Linked DNA regions of Drosophila melanogaster. The protein of the gene in region 2 purifies or fractionates together with the protein of the main gene of each other region. This does not show direct contact. Each region holds a gene or a part of one and is shown on either strand. Other genes may lie near its edges.

The links. The genes of interacting proteins can lie anywhere in the genome.
Region 1: the proteins of pasha (region 2) and drosha purify together in Drosophila melanogaster (affinity purification with western blotting; 4 studies listed by BioGRID, with this or other methods). This does not show direct contact.

The regions. Positions count from the first base shown.
Region 1 is NT_033778.4:7,930,795-7,937,382, reverse strand, and holds drosha (drosha), read right to left. Parts: upstream 4,955-6,588; 5' UTR 4,868-4,954; coding exon 3,346-4,867; intron 3,288-3,345; coding exon 963-3,287; intron 899-962; coding exon 762-898; 3' UTR 543-761; downstream 1-542. Other genes in the region: CG8728 (uncharacterized protein), read left to right, coding at 1-179, 240-412; rnh1 (ribonuclease H1), read left to right, coding at 5,034-5,375, 5,428-5,484, 5,537-5,772, 5,828-6,098, 6,159-6,254; PIG-X (phosphatidylinositol glycan anchor biosynthesis class X), read left to right, coding at 6,507-6,529, 6,573-6,588.
Region 2 is NT_033777.3:31,616,465-31,622,751, reverse strand, and holds pasha (partner of drosha), read right to left. Parts: upstream 4,325-6,287; 5' UTR 4,215-4,324; coding exon 3,983-4,214; intron 3,764-3,982; exon of another isoform or gene 3,741-3,763; coding exon of another isoform or gene 3,695-3,740; intron 3,512-3,694; coding exon 3,308-3,511; intron 3,243-3,307; coding exon 2,293-3,242; intron 2,237-2,292; coding exon 1,982-2,236; intron 1,923-1,981; coding exon 1,635-1,922; 3' UTR 1,393-1,634; exon of another isoform or gene 1,278-1,392; intron 833-1,277; 3' UTR 535-832; downstream 1-534. Other genes in the region: CG1792 (uncharacterized protein), read right to left, coding at 5,041-5,230, 5,293-5,403, 5,480-6,177, 6,231-6,287.

The DNA of each region.
Region 1 (6,588 bases), on a different chromosome or scaffold from region 2:
CGAGATGATGGGCATGGCCGCAGAGCCAGGCCGTGAAGAGCTAATGCGCTCGAAGATCCAGCTTCAGTCCATGTTACTAATGAACCTGGAGTCGAGACCCGTTGTGTTCGAGGACGTGGGCCGCCAAGTGCTGGTGACGGGGCAGCGAAAACGACCGCAGCATTTTATCAAGGAAATTGGTAAAAGCATCTTAATTAATCAATTAATGCTATCATTTAACTCGTTAATTCATATTACAGAAAGTGTAACTGCCGCCGATATCCAACGCGTTGCTCAACGTCTCCTGAGCTCGCCGCCTTCTGTGGCCGCCCGCGGCGACATCCACAATCTTCCCGAGATGAGCCACATCACCAACGCGGTCAGTGGTTCAGGACGTACCGGGCTGGGACGTAGGCTTTCCTTGTTCAAATAGCGCTGGGTGTGAGACCGCCTCCATTGGATATCATTTCGCTTTGTTTACAATATTGTGCGAAGGGCAACCGTGTTAAGTTTAAATTGGCTAAAAACCAAAATTCCCAAAATTCGACTCGGTTATTTTATTTGTTGCTTTAATGGTATTTTTAATTAGGCGACAATTAGAGACAGGCAAATTTTTGTCCTCTAACATCTTACTTAGAAAGTAAGATGTCCTGATAGCAAAGGGGAGAATTGCATCTACTAAATGAGCGATTCATTAAGATAACCCATTACATTTTTACACCGCTCCCACGATTGTCTTACTCAATTTGGGCCTCCTATAGCTATAGCATACGCAAAGCTGTTCATCCCAGCGAAGATTTTGAAGACACCGAGGAACATTTCTTTAATCGGCGCTTGCACTTCGGAGAAGAGGTTGAGCCATCGCTATCACTGCTGCTGCTGCTGCTACTACTGCCACTTCTGTTACTTCTTAAGGGCACTAGAAACGAAAAGGATACCTATAGATACCTATTAATCACAGCACACCGTATCTATTAACTTACTTGTTGGACTCTTGGGAGCAGTGCTTTCGAAGTCTTCGTCTTCCGGCAACTCATCGCTGGAAATGTTCTCGTGCATGCGATATTGCTTAGGAAGATGGCTCTCATCCTGAAGCGGTGTCGCATATTTGGGCCGCTTGATTTTTTCTTCTTGATGCTGGCGATCACTGTCGTTGTCCAATTCGTTGCCCGTTTGTTTCTTTATGCTCTTGGCGATCACGCGCTTTTGGTGATCCAGTTGGGGAAACAGGTCCCTTGAATTCTCCAGCGCCTGCTTAGCGGCGTTCATCTCCGCCTGCTGAATGGAGGAGCCACTTGAAGTGGCCAGCCGCTTTGAGCGGAAATAAACGGCCACCTTGTATACCCGCGTATTAGTTGGACCACTGGCCTCCACCACCTTGTAGTAGGGAATGTCCGGCTCGCCGCCATCCATTGTGCGAAGTGTGAGGCAGCACTGCTGCAGCTTCGACTTGGGATCGTTCCAGTCCTGATTCATGATAAACAACTGAAGTCGCGGGAACAAACATACATGGCAAAACTGTTCACAATACAGGAGACCCTTGTCCACGTACAGGGCGCCGAGGAATGCCTCCAGCAGATCGGCACGATCTTTGGTCTTCAAATCAGCCTTGGGATTGGCATACACGGCATATTTCGGCATTCCCAAATCATCGCAAACCACCGCTTGAGTGCGATTATTGACCAATGAGGATCGTAGCAGGGACAAGTGGCCCTCGTGGTGCTCAGGGAAGTGACGATATAGGTACTCCGAGCAAATCAGCTGCAGCACTGTGTCGCCCAAGAACTCTAAACGCTGATTTGACCCAAGGGTCAAGTGGGTGAAACCAATGGAGCGATCGGTAAAAGCGCGAGCCAAAAGCCGAATGTGCTTAAACTTGATTCCAATAGAGTCCTCGAATTTGGTTAACTCCTTAAGCACACGGTAGGAATCAATACAGCTGCGATCCCCAAGTGGCTCCTGTTCCTGCAACGGGTGCTCCGGCAGATTCTTCCATATACTCAGCAGTTTCTCGTCCTGCCGGAAGAGTGCATCCGTGAACACCTCATCTGCCACCTTGATTCCACCATCCAATAGAAGCGCGCCCATTAGGGCTTCAAAACAGTTGGCCATGGCGTGACGCAGTTCCAACTCGTGGCACAGATCGGATCCGTGTGCGTACAGCATAAACTCTTCCAGTTGCAGCTTTTTGGCCAACAGAGCCAAGTGCTGGTTTTGGACAATTGCCGCTCGGTAAGTGGCCAAACCACCCTCCTCCAGTTCAGGGAACATAAAAAACAGATGGATTGAGCTGAGGAATTCTACTACAGCATCACCGAGGAACTCTAGTCTCTCATTGTGGGTTATGTTCGAAACAGTCTCATGCTCCTTGCCAAATCTGGACATAATGCTCACTAATGTGTTGATACCCCGCTTGCGTGTGTTCATGTAATGGATCTTGCGATCTCCGTACTCCGGCTGACGAATTCCGCAGTTAGTCAGCGAATTACGGGCGTGATCCGGATTGGTACCGTAGTTCTCCTTGTATGAGGGATGCGTCAGCGCCAATTGGAGAAGGTACCGATTTTTAAAGCGGTACCCGATACTCTCCTCTAGCAGGTCCAGCGACTTGTGAAAGCGAAGGTGACCAGTTAGGACAGGAATCAACATGGCATGCTGCACAACGTCGCACATAATGCCGGTGCGATAGAAGCCCTCCGAGCTGATCGCCACTGTGATATTTCGTTTCATGCGCCCCTGAGTTCGCATCTCCTGAAGACGTTGCTCCTTCTCCTCTAGCTTGCGCTTATCCTTGAAAGAGGGCTTCGACATGTTGGCCATCAGATGACGGTACTTAACGTACTCTCGCCACGCCTTCTGGTACTCTGGATTTCCAGCGTAGCTTAGCTGAGGATGACAAATGCCAAAGTGCACGATTGCTGGATGTGAGATTCCAGTCTCGCGATCTACGCACTCGGGCAAATCGGAGTTATTCCTGTCCAATTGGTCAACGCGTAGCGAACACGGCTTATAACCCGGCTTGGTGACCAGCATTCCCTTTATGAAGTCCACGTAGTTTTGCCACTCGCTCTGACTAATCTGGTTAAGATGCAGTAGTTGCTGCCGTTCCACAAGCTGTGCAGAATTATCCAGCAAGTAGCGGAGTACCTCGACCATGGCCAAAACCTCCTTTCCATTATCTGGCAGGTCGCGGACGAAACGCGGAAAGAAGTGAAAAGCTGGGCAGGATTCCTCGACGTTTCCGGACGGTAAGTTGGGCATTAGATTAAAGTCTACCAGCTCTAGCAGTTCATGAAACAGGTATTTGACTGAAATTGAGATAAGATGTAAGTAATGCCTATAAAGAAAAATCTCAATTTTACTTACAAAAAATGTCTAGCTCGTGGATGGTGAAGTTCTCTGGCATCTTCTCCTCTTCGTACTCAATGGTGTACTCGATGTTGAAGCGGATCACCTTGCAGACGGGCAGATCGGAGAGACGCACATGCGAGAGAAGTGAGAAGCCCTCGAATAGAAACTCGTGCTCATCATGCTTGATAATGGTGGGTGTCTTTGTCAGGAAGTTAGTGGGCGGTGAGATGCTGATCCTGTAGTGGAACAGCTTGCCTGCATTGTTGCTGTTTGGATCGCACAACTTATAGCCAGTCTCGCCCGGATATATGCCGTGTCGAATGCCAATGCGCCGGGACTTGGCTGAGCAGCGGCAAAGAGGTCCGTCGTTCATCTCACCGGCGTCGTTGTGCCAGAGATCCGCGTGCACACGCTGCGGATGTTGCACCTTGCGCGAAAGCTCCTCCATGCAGCAGTCTTGCTCGATCTTAAAAGCGTCTTCGTCGGAGTCGTCATCGGATGAGGAGGACGAGGAGCAGGCTTCCGACTTGTGTTTATGCTTGCAAACACGGCGGCGAGCCTTTCTTGGAGGCGGCACGTAAACGGGTAGCTTCTCGCGTACACGCTTTGCTCTCTGCAGGAGCTCCTCATCGAATAGAGTGCACAGCTTTTGCAGACGCGCCCGACCTCTGACTTCGTTTTCGCTCTTGGTGCGCTCGTAGTAGAGCTCCGCTGGCGATGATCGCACCCAGGATTCGACTGGCGCATCCGCCTCGCTGAGGGCGTTCATCTTCTTCACATAGTCCTCTGGTTTTTCGCAGAAGTTAGAACACCACTGTCTCAACAGACGGTCCCTTTCGGTCTCCACCTTCGGTTTGGCCCTAGTCTTCTCTAAGGTCTCATTTCTCTCCCTTTCGTGATGGCCACGTGGCGAATAGTCATCGCTGACTTGGTTTCTGGCTGCAGATCCATAGTATCCGTGTTGCGACCCCTTTGCCTGCCTGTGGGCATAGTGTCCGTGTCGTGGCTCGTGGGCATATCGACTGTCCTGAATTTGACGGTGTTCCTGATCATGTCTTTGTTCATACCGCCTACCCGAGCTATAGCCGGGATAATGGTGGTAGCCTTGACTGGAGCTGTTGGAAGTGTACCTCTGCCTTTCGGATGGAGGTCGGTAGTTGGACGAATAAGCAGGATAGCGGTCTGGGTATTTATAGCTTTCATAGAGGAATGATGATCCGGATGCCGGGTACTGGTATTGGTAATGGGACTCCTGGCCACCATACTTCTGTGCTTGTTCGTTGTAAGCATATCCCTCGTAGCCGTACGCTGGTGGTTGCTGGTACGGATCATAGCTAGGTACTGAGCTGGCATAAGGAGCCGGTGTCTCCGGGTAGACGTAATCCAAAGACTTCGAGCTCTGAGAATGGGATTCATTTGAAGAATAGTTGTGAGAGGGAACACCTACTCCCGGTGGAGATAGATCTTCTTCTGGCGGAGGTGGCGGGGGCGGAGGAGCAGGCTGGACTGGAGGCGGTGGCAAAGGCGGCTGGTACATGGCGAAAAGTTTTGGGAAAATCTTTGGCAAAATCCACAATTATACTTTTTTCCACCCACACCTTTTACCGCGATTCGAATGATCTGGCAACTCGACCGGTTTGTTTACATTCGCACATCCGGCAAGGCCGTGCCACATATGTTTCGATAGACAACGTAAGAAAATTATGTTACTTCCGCGGTATTTTTGCTGGAACCTCCAACGCTGCACGATGGCGTTTTACGCTGTAGCCAGTGGGCGGCGGTCTGGAGTCTACGGCTCTTGGGCAGAGTGCGAGGAGCAGGTCAAGGGTTTCAAGAACGCCAAATACAAGAAGTTTAAGACACGCCAGGAAGCGGATCAGTTCGTTAATGGCTGCAAGTCGTATGCTCCGCAGGATGTGGCCGTGCCGCTGGGCAAGGAAAAGGCGTCACTGGCCAGTTGGAAAAACAGTATCGAAGTGAATAAGAACCCCAAGTACACAGATGAGTGGCCCGAAGAGGATCACGACCTAGCCGAGGATGATCTGGTAGGCATGAATATACATACGTTTGCAAAGTCCTGACCTTTCATCCTTTCAGAATGCTGCCATGAACGAGGTTGAGGGAGATCCAAAGCCATCTAACAGTAGCAATTTAGTATGAGACCGTAGTACATACTGTAGAAAAAGTTAAACATAGCTTCTTTCAGCCAGACATTCTCAATCGCAAGCGGAAGGGCACAACCAGCGGCGATAAGCGGAACAAGATCCCACGTCATGCCTCTCAGGTCTCAGAAGCCACAGGACTCAAGCAAGTGGGTGCCTTCCAGTTTGAAATCGATGCAGAGGGCTATGTCATTGTGTACACAGATGGCTCCTGCATAGGCAACGGACGAGCCGGAGCCTGTGCCGGCTATGGCGTTTATTTCGGCAAGAATCACCAGCTGTAAGTGGTAACTGCAGCACAATAACTTTGCTTTTAACCTATATGTTCTTTGCAGAAACGCAGCCAAGCCCGTGGAAGGACGCGTTACAAATAATGTAGGTGAAATACAAGCGGCCATTCATGCCATTAAAACAGCTCTTGACTTGGGAATACAGAAGCTGTGCATCAGCACAGACTCTCAGTTTTTGATCAACTCCATAACGCTGTGGGTTGCGGGTTGGAAAAAAAGGGATTGGAAGCTAAAGAACAATCAGCCTGTTAAAAACGTTGTTGACTTCAAGGAACTGGATAAACTGCTTCAGGAGAACAACATCACCGTGAAATGGGTGCGTAACTAAATTTAAATAAGGTCCTGGAAAATACTTGACTTCAGTTAATATCCCCAGAACTATGTGGAGGCCCACAAGGGCATAGAGGGCAATGAAATGGCAGACAAATTGGCGCGGCAAGGATCCGCCTTGTATAAGCAGAAAAATGGTTGAAAAGCTATTTTAAATTTACCGTATTTTTAGTATGTAATTGATATGGCAACGCTGAATAAATTTTAGTTACGCGACAGCCCTGGTCCAAATGTTTTTATTTACAATTTACTTCAGTCGCTTTTAATATAAGTTAGTTTGCAAAAAATGCATTCCAAGGGAAATAACCAGTGCTTACTGTTCACCTTGGTTTTGGGCTTACTGGGAGGCGCGGGACATTGTTATGTAGTCGAACCACCTATCGTTCACGTGGAAATGGAAAAAGCCGGCATGCACAGGTTTTTATATTGGAGAGCGGTTTATGGATTACCTGAATTAAAGTGATAAATGTTTATGC
Region 2 (6,287 bases):
CTCCGCCTTCTGCTGCTCCGGCGGCTGCTGCTTACCGATTCACTGGCTCTGACGGAAATTCCAATGGAATTTGGCATAATTTACATATCTCCGAGTGCTTGGGCCAAGCGGGCCAAATGCATTGGACACGGTGTACAGGAGTGCGTGTGTGTACCCGATTTTCCGTTTATTTTCCGAGTGCTCCGTCTTTCACCGAATATCCGCACTTTTTTCCCAGGCCCGATTTCTGGGCCGCTGGGCGAAAAATCAAAAACGGCGCGCGTGTCGTACCGCTTGCTACATCCACTGATTTGACGCGCGACCCACGCACTTGCAACACGCGACACACGAGCACCGGGAATCGAACGTCGAGAGTCGAGAATCGAGGAACTGGGGGGCTATGAAGTTGGTTTTTTTGGGGGCACCGAGGGATGAGGGGGCAACTAAGATGAATGTCAATAAAAATGATTCTGCTCTGCACTGCAGTTGGCCTTTTTTCAGCTGTACCACCGAATTCACCTCTTGGCTTTCTGTTTTTCTCCCCGTTTTTTTTTTCGGTCTGTCCCGAGTTACTGTGATTCAATTACAAATCCCAGACGAAAGTCCTGAGGATAGGAGCGCCGGGAAGTGGTTTTCTCGCCACGCGAAGAATCCGTACTGAAGATACAGATATGGCCTGCGAATTGGCAAGTCAGAACTCGCCACAATTCATCTCGCAGCATGGCTGCTGCGCAAAATCCGGGATCTGCGCCTGCGCCGCTCTCCCGCGCTCTCTCTCTCGGACTTTCTCTCTGCGACTGTCTCTCCGCATTCTCCGTGGTGGGTATGTGTGTGTGCCACGCTCGTTGGAATGCTATAAAAAAGGAAACGTTAGAATGAAATGAAAATGTAGCATAATTTATGACTGCATCGTCTTTTAAATAATTGCACGCACACACACCTACGAACCTACACCCTGCCCACCGCCTTAAATATTAACATCCACTCACCTAACGACCGACCGCCTAAAAACACCCGAGAATCCTAATGGCCATGTAAATATGCATTTTTTTATATTCCATACGACTTTTTAAAATGTCTTCCAAATTGGTTACGGGTCAATGGTGTTTGAACGTTCCAAGAATGAAAGCGATACGAGAAGATTTACGAGGAAATTTGATAAACAAATCATGAGCAAATAATTGTCCTGCTGTCTGCCCAAATGAATAGTTGTCAAATACTTAAGAACTCTACTTTTTTAATTGGTATTGCAGATAAAGATCTTAGACGAACATCTCTATACTCAAATATAAAGGACTGCGTTTTTAATAGTATTTTATTCAAGCTTATATTATACAAGTGAAATTGAACCCCTAATCTTAGCTATTGCAAGCATGAACTACTTATATTTGGCAAATTTAGTGATGAATTTACCTTAATGTAAAACCACTTGATAGGCAATTGTTCTTCATTTTTGGCCACTTGCTAAAGCCACTTCAGATTAACCAGCTCAGATAGATGAAGCCGATTTGAAATCAGTTCGTATGCCTCTAGAGAACGCGTCGTTGTTGTCATTAGCTTTTCGAATATGGAAATGGGTGGGTAACTAAGAGACTAGGAGGTTGTCATGCACTACTAGAGAATCAATGTTGGCGAGAGAGATGTGTGTTTCCCAATCAAAGTTCCACGTTGTTCAAATTGGACCCGGAGGAAGTGGGCAGATCGACGTCGCTTGGCGGCACAAAAGTGCCCATGGTTAGGACGCTCTCCTGCTTGGCACACAGTTTCAACATCTCGGATTTAAGTTTGTCCAGTATGGCGTAGTTGGGTTGGTTGACTGCCGCCTTGCTCTGCAGCACGGTGATCTCCTGCTCCTCCAGCTTCTTCTCCTTGAAGGTCTTTATGGAGTTGTTGCCGTAGAGGCGCAACAAGGAACCCCAGGTCTGGATGTGCGGATGCAAAATCTGACGAAAGGTTAACTCAATAGCTATAAGTAAAGTTATAAAGAAATATCAATGCTCACCTGGAGGATTGCTTGCGAAGCCAACTGCTTGCCCTCCCGCTTGTTTTTACACACCACTTTGGCAGTATGTTTGCCCACGGTCATGGTAAACTCGTTCTTGTTATTCGCGGTGCGGTTGATCTCCTGGCTGATCTGAACATCGCTGCCGTAGTTGCGCTGCAAGCAAGTCAGCAGAATGGCGTTGGGAGATGGCTCCGTCGTCTTGTTGCAGAATTCGGTGACTCGGGGATCTTCGATGCGGATGTCATCGAAAACCTGCAAGAAATATAAAAATAAGAAGTGGTTCCATTTTCTATAGGTAGATTGCTTACAGACAGATCGCTCTGCGCTTTCTTCGCAGTGCCGCTCTTTTGGTCCTTATTGTTGCCCGTTATCTTGTCCTTGACATCGGGAATGAGTATTTCCAGCGTTTCCCGAGCCGCCTCTGACTTGGCCTGCTTTTTACTGGTGCCATAGCCCGTGCCATACTTGAGATTGTTCACCGATACGGTGGCGGAGTAAGGCGTGGCTGCGTTTTGGAGCTCCTTGAACTCATAGGTGGGCTGCGTTTTCAGAGCATGCTGCACGTACTCGTGCAGGATGCAGACGAAGCTCTTGCCATTGGGATTCATGATCCACTCCTTCCGACCGCGCGGGTTCGTTGATCCTTCGCCAGCATTCGCTAGTATTGGGAACTTAATAAGCTTAGTGCCATCCGGCAGCGTGGGTCGTTGAATATTCTTGATGTGTTTGCGGTTTTTGGTGAACTTGCGGCGAGCATTCCAACTCCGAAATCGCAGCACACGAATCACCTTGAATTTGAAGAGTTTCTGGCAGTAGGTGTTTAGTTGCTCCGGTGTAATGGATTCCTTTTGGGTATTCTCGTTGACCGTAACAATTTTAGCAGCCGGCATAAGGGCAGTTATTCCATCTGGTTGGGTTTTGGAATCGGTGCTGCCTTCGTTGTTCTCTTTTCCCTCCACGTCCATGGCTTCGGCCGGTAAAGCGGAAGCTCCGGCCATGGGACATACAGCCACTGGCGGCGCTCCATCCGTCTTTTGTTGCTCCACCTCCGACTCTTCCTCCAAAGCCCGCCTGTAGTTAAGACAGGGGATTGCTCCCAAGGGCACTGCATGCTTGCGGGCACTTCCAGTGCCGAGAAAATAGGGCCTCGATGCGCAACAGACGCGAGTTTTGCGATGCAAGAAGAGCGGCATTCCACTGTTGTGGGTCACCTGCACCCATCCCTCGGGTAGGACTTCAAAGTGGTTGAGGCGCTTTTCTAAAAGAGTAGTCACATTAAAATACTCGTCATCTTGGACACTTGGTTCGACGAAAAGCACTGACCTTCCAGCACAGTCTTGAAACGCTGCTCGTATTTGGGCTGCTTTGACTCGCGGAGCTCTTCGGGCAGCTTCTCGTCCAGCAGATTCTCGATCTCGTCATCATCGAATTCCGAGGAATCGTATTCTTCGCCGTCACCATCAGCCGCCTCTTCCTCCTCGTCGCCTCCTTCTCCATACCTTCCGCCCTGCTGCTCGCTAGCGTTGTCTGGTTGCCATGTAAGGAGATACAATCACGGATAAATAAGTTGTCTGTTTGTCTGGGAAATGGAAAACCAGCCGCGAAGTTGATGGCCATCTTCACGGAATATTTGAATGAATGCCATTGGCACCTAATTGTCTAGCTCTTTGATGTTTAATTAAAGTGATCCTTCATTATTACTGGCTCTACCTGACGCAACTGGACAAGCCAGTCGGATAATGGGTATCATGCGCATGGAACTGTCCGCACAAAACTGCCACCACCTGCCTTACAATAAGATAAAGGAAAACTGAAGCTGCTATATCAGGGTTTAACCTGCCGGCTGACTCTTTTATCAGCCTCCTGTATTTGCACAATGATAGGCCCCCAAGATCTTGAGATAAGAACTGCGCCTGCACTGTGAAACAAAAGGTGGTAATTGCACAGCCTGTGATCTGGATGACCTGAGTGAATATCCGAGCTTCGTTTCCGACTCACCTGACTCATCATCCTCATCGCTGCCAGAGCCGACTTCGTCGAGAACCTGGAACTGTCGCAGTTGCTGGTCCATGGGTTCGTTCTGCAGCTCGTTGTCCCTGGTCCGCCGCATTTCCTCGATGGCGCTCAGCGAAAAGCCGGCCACCTTGAGCTCCTGCTCCTCGTCCTCCAGCCGGGGACGCTTGCGGACCTGCCCAGAGTCCGGGCAGTCGGCCAGCGGCTTCTCCGCCATTGTATTGGATGTGTGTGTCTAAAGCGGGAGGGGTTTAGTGCGGACTGATCGGAACTGTCTAGTAATGCTGTCCCGGGGCCAATCTCGCCAATAACCAATACTGAGAGCATCCAACGCCTTGCAATTGATTTCTCATTGGAAGTGCCACATTGGTTAAGCCAGAAGCCCCGCCGGAAAATTCTGCGACTGCACTTTCGCGGATTGTAAACGATGCTACTTGCTGCGTCTTTCGCTATGGATTCTGCCTAATTGTCGGACAAAATCCCAAAGCAAAAGCTGCGCAATTCAAGTACGAAATCGAGATTTTAGAGAGAGGATGTTAGTTGGGAAAAATAACCAAACAAGCGAAACAAACACCACATGCAGTTTTGCGGAAACAGATTGACACTTTTGAATTGGGGTTAGTGATGGTTCCAGGTATTATCCTCCGGAGAAGAACGTTTGGTCTTAGGATCTATTGTAACAGCAGCTCCAAGCACTTTTCTACTGATTTTGCAAGAAATTTTGCAATTTAAAGACGCCCCCTAATTTATTTAGTGCAAGACAGTGTGACCAGGCTCATGACATTTTAAAATGCTGGCTACTCCCCAAGCCGGTAAACAATGTTCGAATTTAGATTTTATTATATTTTAAAACATAAAAATAATGTAACTAAAAATTAGTGCGCAGCCTAAGTAAGGTAATCTCTATTGGCCATTTTGAAAAAATCAGTTTTTATTCAACACAGCCATATTTGAACATATTCCATTTTCGATTAATATTAAGTGCATTGAGTATTAATCCGAATATCAGATCGGGGATCCATTGATTTTTAGTACAGTTTATCCTAAGATCCACTTTTTCCTAGTAAAGCCTCATCCTTAGCCCCTGTCTGCATGCCGTTACTGGCCTTCACGTCCAGTTCCACAGGATTGTCCAGTGCCGCCTGGGCGCTTGAAGTGTGGGCGTGACCTTTTGAGCGATAGTGGGAGGTCAGGTGGGAGCGGCGAACGAAGGAGACTTGGCAGGAGTCGCAGCTGAAAAACAGATAAACAGAGTCAAGGATCCTCAATAAAACTTCAGGTAACTAAGATCTTACTGGAACGCTCGCACTCCGGTGTGACTCAGCATGTGCGTGCGGAGTTTTCCGCTCATGGCAAAGCTTTTATTGCATTCCTTGCACGTGAAGGGCTTGACATTCGTGTGGCGCCTGATGAAATGGAAAGTGGTCAGAAATATGTGAAAAGCATTAGACGTTTCATGAATGGGAACGAGTTCTGTCGTACATGCGTTCGTGCTGGATGCGTCCGCTGGCGTTGCTGTAGGTTGCCTCGCAGTAGCGACACTGAAACAAAGCATTCCCCGCATGCAGTTCTTGGTGGCGCCGCAGAAGCGTAGCAGTGTAGAACTGCTGGGAGCACTGGTCACAGGCAAAGCTCTTTACGCCGGTGTGTCGGAGGAGGTGCAACTTGAAGTTGCTGGGGCAGGTGAAGTGCCGGCCACACTGCTCGCATATGCAATCCCGCTTGCGTCGCTCCCGCTTTAGGGCCACCACTTCGTCCTCGGTGAGTCTGCTCCACTGGGTGCGCGTGGCCTGGCTATTGTCCGCAAACTTAACGGAGGTAAAGACTGTGGGCGTGGTCTTTGTACTTCTGCGGAGCTTCTTCTCCTGCGCAGGAACCTTCACTTGGGGCTGCTCGTTCTGCTCACATATTTCGTACGGCTCTTCCGTCTCTTCCAGCAGGTGTTCCTCGGGTAGAAGGTCTATAACCTCGATCTCGGTGACCTCTTCAGCGTACTGAATCTCCTTCTCCACACCAACTGCGAAGGATTCGATCAATTCCGCGTTCCCCAGGTTGGGACTTTCCTGCAGCGTTTTTTGGGTTCGAATCACACGTTCCCGGAAAGCAATCGCCGTCTGCAGGTCCAATTCGCAGGGTGAGCAAATAAAGGGGGGCAGCTCGTTCCCGGGTCCGCCGAGCAACTACGGATAATCCAGACTTAAGTTTGAAAACACAAAAATAGAAAGGTACTCACAAACAAACCAGTAAGAACCTCGATCTGGTGCAGCATTACGGAATTGGGCTCCTCGAA